Arabidopsis thaliana: one gene and its partner. The protein of the gene in region 1 purifies or fractionates together with the protein of each later gene. This does not show direct contact. Each region holds a gene or a part of one and is shown on either strand. Other genes may lie near its edges. The genes, in order: RPS2 and ROC1.

Evidence for each region.
Region 2: the proteins of RPS2 (region 1) and ROC1 purify together in Arabidopsis thaliana (affinity purification with western blotting, with the first as the bait; one study listed by BioGRID). This does not show direct contact.

The regions. Positions count from the first base shown.
Region 1 is NC_003074.8:866,734-870,580, forward strand, and holds RPS2 (ribosomal protein S2), read right to left. Parts: upstream 1,974-3,847; 5' UTR 1,774-1,973; coding exon 1,114-1,773; 3' UTR 815-1,113; downstream 1-814. Other genes in the region: AT3G03610 (ELMO/CED-12 family protein), read left to right, coding at 2,418-2,420, 2,713-2,895, 2,977-3,079, 3,166-3,278, 3,809-3,847.
Region 2 is NC_003075.7:18,082,843-18,086,460, reverse strand, and holds ROC1 (rotamase CYP 1), read left to right. Parts: upstream 1-2,209; 5' UTR 2,210-2,322; coding exon 2,323-2,841; 3' UTR 2,842-3,066; downstream 3,067-3,618. Other genes in the region: AT4G38760 (nucleoporin (DUF3414)), read left to right, coding at 1-882, 999-1,206, 1,346-1,428. UniProt on the Arabidopsis thaliana protein: PPIases accelerate the folding of proteins. It catalyzes the cis-trans isomerization of proline imidic peptide bonds in oligopeptides. Involved in de-etiolation.

The DNA of each region.
Region 1 (3,847 bases):
GTTTTTGGGAGAAAAAGGTTTGACCTTTGACTCTGCCACGTGACGACGTTTGAGATATGAAACTTGTCTTTTGACACTAAAGCTTTCAACTTTCAAGGATTAAGATGCGAAAGTTTCCAACTTTCTCAACAGTCCAGCCATGGAATCATTTTCATATCCTTTGTAATAGCTTCGACAAAATTCATGGCTGCTTCTCTTTCTATTGATTAATACATTACGAAGATATTTGTAATGATAAAATTGCTCAGAGATAAAGAAAGGGTTATGATATGACTGAGGAAGATGCTTTGATTCTGTCGAGGTAAGGTAATAACTAATAAGGTATTGTTGACAAGCTATAGTGACAATAATAAGGAGAAAACCAAAAGCTAACAATGATAATTCTTGGAGAGGATGGTAACTGAGTTAAGAGAGCTTAAACAACGTCGGTTTGTTCCATCGAGAAAATCTCTGAAGCACAACGACATCGCAACTATTCCACAAGTGAGAAGACCAGAAGAGAGAATCAAACTTGACCATCTTGAAAAGTCTAAGTTAGTTCCAAGAGCTTTACATGCAAATTTTCTTAGTCCCGGAGGATGATAGATGGAGACTAACATGGCTTGATCTTACTTCTTACTAACAATCTCTGTAGCACGTGCAGTGGAAACCAAGCCGATCAAACCACTAAGATTAGCAACAAACTCTACCGAGGATAAGTACAACTTCAAGAGGTATGACCAGAGATGCCCCAAAAAATCAGGAACATGACAGAAACTCGACTAAAATTCAAGTAAAGACCATAGAATTGTCTTAAGAGACATTCAAAGTTATCCCAGACAGTTACTTGTAAATAGCTCATTCCAAAACTTGTGAAGTAACGATTACCATATACAATGTCTAAAGCATTTCCAAAAAATGAGTTGTGCAAGGAAAAGACAAGGCAGTTATCAAGATGTAGAACACTAGAACTCAACAATCTTATACAGAAATATCCATCAGAGAAACAAAATCATCCATGTGTAAAAAACTCCCAGAATTTCAAAGTTGAAGTAACCACAATTCTGAAGAACAATTATTCCAGACTCAGAAAAACAACTGTAAAGTTTCATACTTTTGTTGCAAATATCAAAATCAAGCAGCTAAATCCTTCATCAAATCTTCATTGCTCCCTTCTTTGATCCCCAACTTCATCTGTTCTGCCACAAAGCACTTGGTGATCACATTACAGAACAAATACACAAACTTGACCGAATCACGAGCTGGCACAGGATACGTAATCTTCTCAAAGAACTCCAATGGCACATTCGGGTCCACAATTGCAACAACCGGAATCTGAAGCTTCGATGCCTCAAGTATCACAGAGCTCTTCCTCTCAGAATCAAACACAACGACACAATCAGGCATAGTAGTTGGACCAAAGCAAAGCTTTTTATGCCTAGATCGAAACTTCTTAGGACTGTAGCTGTTAGTCAAAAACCCTCCCATCTTCCACAGATTCATCGCACGGTTGTGATTATACGAATCTCCTTGGATCCGACGAGAAGTGAGCTCAATGATTTCGTCGAAGAGAGGATTCGTGTTGACGAAGAAGATGTTACCTCTCATGTGGGCGAGGTTAGCGACGAAATGAGCGGCGCTACGGAGGCAAATTAGGGTTTTGTCGGAGTCGATAATTGTCATTCCGTTACGCGTCCCGTAAGCGTATTGCTTGAAATGGTGCTCGGCGGCACGACGGCCGAGATGTGCTCCGGTGTTCAGAAGCTTCTGGATTACTGCAGCGTGAATCGTCATAGTTCGTCGTCGGAAAAACCACCGGACGGCAGCGAGAGGGTTAGGGTTTAAGAGAAATTCGCAGATTGAATTAGATCTGATGAGGAAGATGAAACATGGATGAATCTGGAGCCGTCGGGTCGGGTCGGTCTGGTCTGGTCGTGTTGGGTATGAGCTAATTACCGGCCCATTTCGGTAGATTTCAGATGCCTAAACCAAACATCGTAAACCGGATGACAAACCGGGTCGTTGACCAACAAAAGAGAAATAAAATAAATAGTAACGTATAAGAGAGATTAATCGAAATAAATAAAATTTCTGGGAAATTTGGCGGCGACAGTTTCCTTTGGATTTCAGATTTCGTGAGCTTATTCTTACCTTTCTCTCGAAGGAAGCTCTCATCTTTTCACTCAGATCACGTTCCCTGTAAGAGAATCGATCAAACCCAATTCGTAACTTTCCTTATAATGTATCTTAGATTCCAAAGTTTTTGGATTTGGTGATGTTTTTCTTGTCAAGTTTTCTGATTAGGGATTACAAAAAGTCGAATCTGAGATTTGGGGATTTTAAGCGATCCTGTTTTGTGTTGAGTCTTTTCGTTATCGCCCAATTAGGGTTTGTGGTGGAGCTCTGTTTGATCTTCTGAATTTTTTTAAAACGATTCAATGGTTGGTGACTTAGCGCAGATGCATCGCTTTGTAATTTGCTAGGTTGAAAAATTCTATCTTGTTCTGATTCCCGTTGAAGCTTCTAGTTCTAGGGTTCGTTTTCTCTTATTGATTTCTGTTTGCATGGGTCTGTTCTATGATCTAGTGTTGAAGAATTAGTGTCTAGTGTGCAAAAATTGGAAGACTGGACAAATGAAAAGCTTTAAATTATAATCGCATAGCTCCATTATCAAGACACTGTCTCCAATTTTCATGTTTTTGTTTGTTTGATCTTATTTCTGGTATAATGCAGGGGCTTATTCGCTTGTATCTGTTGATATACAAGATGGCATCTGCGACTCTGAGAAGGCGGCTTCATCACGGTGATGTAGATGGGAGGAAGTATGAACGCTATGATGCAACAGACTCTGAAACTTTAAGTGAACCCTTGTTAGGAAGTAGTAGTACTGATAATAGTAGAAATGAGTACATTGAGGTTAGTAGTTCAGTGTGTGTGTTTTTAATTAGAGATGAGAAGAACCCTTTTATGTATTATTACCTGTGGTGTTACTCTTAGGAGCGTACTCTGGAGGATATTTGGGAAGAAGAACGGAAGAGACAGCAAGTTCACTGGACGTTAATCTTTTCTCAGTTGATTGCACAGTGGGCTCAGTGGATAGGTTGGGCTTTTATTGTCTTGTTACTATCACTCCTTGATTTTTTAAAAGGGGGATTATCTCATTACAACTTGTTTCTTGGTTTGCAGCCAAAATAGTCTTTGGATCTGGCTCACTTGTTGGGAGGTTTCTTTCTCTGCCTACATTTGGTCAAATAGGTACTGGTGGGAGGCTTCTGCCACCACCTCTTAGTATGTTGCAGGTAATCTAAACGGTCTACCTTATCTTTTGAACATTAGATACCAAAAGATACGTTTAAGAGGACTATAATTCATCAGCCTATACCATATTCTTTTTTAAGTTTACATTTTCACATTAGGTTCTTGGTCTTAGCATTGTTGAGATAGCTTTAGTAGTTTGTGTAAGAATACTTTTGTAACTGTAAGAATACTTGTGTAACTGTATTTGCACTGTCTCATTTGTAGACTACAAATACTTTTTATTGGCTTGTGTTTGGAAGAATAATGGTAACTCTGGAAAACAAAGAGATGTATAGAATTAGAAAATTTATCAGAGTGTGTTTCTGCTTGGTGCCTCTAAGTCTCTTACTTGTGTATGTGGTTTATTAGGAAGCTTACTTAGTAAAATGATGACTTTCTCTTATGGTCTCAATTGCTTGTTTTTGTTGCTTTTTAAAATTTTACCGGTTTGTTTTGTTTCCAGTTATCCATGGTCAATTTGACTGTCACTGTCAATTTGATCTCCATTCTGTATTTTCTTGCCTCTTATTAGGAAGAAAGGCTGAGAAATATTAAGCGAAGAATAGAAATC
Region 2 (3,618 bases), on another chromosome or scaffold:
ATGCTTCTAAATTCTGGATTTTTCTCGACTTTAAGAGCTTTGTTAATGGAGTTTCCGGATGGAATGTCTACTTTGGTATCTGACAATGAAAAGGGCTCGCTGCTAGAAAAGACAGAAAAAACTCAGCATATCTGGGGAATCGGTTTGGCTGTGGTTACTGCCATGGTTCATTCTCTAGGATCTGTTTCTGCAGGGGCTGATATTGTGGAGAGTGTCATATCTTACTTTTTCTTGGAGAAAGGTTACATGATCTCATACTATCTCGCTGCACCAGATTTCCCTTCTGATGATCGTGACAAAGTGAGGCTACGAAGTCAACGGACGTGGACTTCCCTTGCTTATCTGAGAGTAACCGAGCATACTCTCCTTCTGCTGTGTGCATTAGCTAGCCATTGGAGATCATGGGTTAAAATTATGAAGGATATGGATTCTCCATTAAGAGAAATGACAATACATCTCTTGGCCTTTATCAGCAAAGGCGCTCAACGGCTTAGAGAGTCTCAGAGCCACATATCTCATCTGTTATGCCCTCCAGTAGCGAAAGAAGAGTTTGATTCCTGCAAAAGACCGTCTTTCATCAATACCAAACACGGATGGTTTTCGCTAGCACCTTTAGTTTGTGTTGGGAAACCCAAGATCACTGCAGTATCTATCTCGACTGCTCTAGTTGTTAGGGGAGACACAACAGAACATCCTGGGTCTGTTCCTCAATCGCAATTTTCAGACTCAGTTGCGATACAGATATATAGAGTGGCTTCTCTATTGTTGAAATTTCTGTGCTTACAAGCAGAGGGTGTTGTTACGAGGGCAGAGGAAGTGGGATATGTCGATATTGCTCATTTCCCTGAGCTTCCAGAGCCGGAGATTTTACATGGTCTACAGGTACGTTAATTCGAGACCAAGAACGGTTACTGGTTTCTATTTTTTTTTTTTTTTTTTTTTTTTTTTTTAATCATCCTCTCTTTGCTTGGTACTACAATGTGTATATTAAAATGCAGGACCAAGCGACGGCGATAGTCGCTGAGCTATGTGATAATTACAAATCCAAAGAGATTCCAGATGAAGTAAAGAAGTTGTGCCTTATGCTGATCCAAACGACAGAGATGTCGTTATACTTGGAACTCTGTGTAGTTCAGGTTTGCAGGATCCATCCTGTATTTGGGCGTGTGGATAACTTCTCCAAAGACTTGAAAAAACTAGTGAAAGGTAACAAGTGTTTCTTCCATAGTAATATTGACAAGACTATTTTGGGATTTGGTGCCTTTTTTAAAATACGATTTAGTTGCAAGGAAAAAGTGAAAACGGTTTCGTAACATTGCTGCTTCTTTTGTTTTGTCTCGATCAGCTGCTGAGGTGCATACCTACTTAGAACCGTCCATAGATTCACTGAAGAAAATAGCTGCGTTTCTGTATCCTGGATCACTTTAGAAACAAAACAAACATGAGGACCATGCTTGAATGTGGTACGTATGTATTAGATTCCTTCCTTGATGAGTGATTAAACCGGCTATTGTACCATTGGTATATGTTAGTCATATAATAGTATTATTCTCTTTATTTCATATCATAGCTTTAAAAAAATGTTCGGCTCATGCTGTCCACTCCTTTTGGGCCGCTCGTTGCTTTCATTTTTTTAAATTGCTTACCTCTCAACAAATTCTTTTGATTGGTTCTCTCTCTGACTCTAGGCCGCAGAAAGTGCAGTTCCGAATAATTCTCACTCAACTAACTTTTGATAATCACTTATTCTAGATTATTCTGATTTTTGAATTCCCTCTACTCTTGAACACGTTTACTTACTATGAGGAAAAATTTAACCCTAAAAAGAAAACCACTCATTACAGCTAACATTTATGAGGGGTGGACTATTGCGCAAAGCATTGATAGTGTTAATTGAAAGTCATGCATATAGTATGCGTTACTACTAAAGTTTAACGGTTCAATTTTTTTGAATTTGAACTGACAGTAAATAAAATTAATTTTTAAGATTAAAAGACGTTGTTTTTAGCAAGTTGTTTAGAAATTGTGGGACACGTGTGGCACGTTGCTCCAGGAGGGGCATATGCCAAGTCTGAGATACTCCAACGCACTGACTGACTGACCCCTACTTAACCGGTGGTCAAACTCTTAACCTAACCACGGTTAAGATCTTAAAGCCGTTGAGATTTTCCCACATGTAATAATCTTGTTTATCTGTGAGATATTCGCCGCTTCCCCTTGGCCGGCTATAAATCGATAACCTCACCGATAAATCCTCTATTCATCATCCACAACAAACCTCTTCTTCAGTCTGATAGAGATCTCACGTTTCAAACAACAAGAATGGCGTTCCCTAAGGTATACTTCGACATGACCATCGACGGCCAGCCCGCGGGAAGGATCGTGATGGAGCTGTACACCGATAAGACTCCCAGGACTGCCGAGAATTTCAGAGCTCTCTGCACCGGAGAGAAAGGTGTTGGCGGTACCGGAAAACCCCTTCACTTCAAGGGATCTAAGTTTCACCGTGTGATCCCTAACTTCATGTGCCAGGGAGGAGATTTCACCGCCGGGAACGGAACAGGCGGTGAGTCGATCTACGGGAGCAAGTTCGAGGACGAGAATTTCGAGAGGAAGCACACCGGACCGGGGATCCTGTCGATGGCGAACGCCGGTGCAAACACGAACGGATCTCAGTTCTTCATCTGCACCGTGAAGACCGATTGGCTTGATGGGAAGCACGTGGTGTTTGGGCAGGTCGTGGAAGGCTTAGACGTGGTAAAGGCCATCGAGAAGGTTGGATCATCATCTGGAAAGCCGACGAAGCCTGTGGTTGTTGCCGATTGTGGTCAGCTCTCTTAGGATCTTCCTATCATCATCCTTAATTTAGCATCATCGTCGTCATTGTGGTGTCTCTTTATGCTTTTGCTTTTGTTATGGAGTCTTTTTAAAATTTGTAGTCATAAGTTTGGTGTGTGTTCTCATGGGAACATATATAAACTTGCCCCTTTAATATTAACTACCAGAAATAAGGAATGAGCACTCTTTTATCATATCTAATTTACGTTACCAAATTTCATCTTTGTTATCTGCATTTCCGTTGGAACAGATAAAAATACTTGGTCGAGTTTTTGTTCACCTATCTAATTAATGGTGGACGACGTTATGATCCACGTTGACGCAGAGGGGCTACACCACCACAAGGTCTTGGTCTAAAAAAGTAACACACGTGATTCTGCAGAGAAGCAAATTAGAAAACCCAATTAATGGCAATAATAATAAACAATACCAGTGGGCCTATTTTTTTGTTTAAATCACGGGTTTGTCGATAAGATCAACTTTAGTGGGCCTTCAAATATAATTGCCTTCGTACTCACTATTATATGAAAACGAAAATTTTCCACCTGAAGGCCGGCCCATCAAATCAGGCCCCAAACCAGTTTTAAAATCCACACGATTTTTCTGGAGACTGTGATGAATGATTGATGACATACCAATTACCAAATCAAATAAATGTTTCAGAGAAGACTGAATCTCATATTTATATGCAGCCAGCAGGGACGCATATGCCTTTAATTACGATTTCAGAATAAAATAATTGTGAGGGAAGCCAATACGTGTGAAAGCCAAAAATGAAAA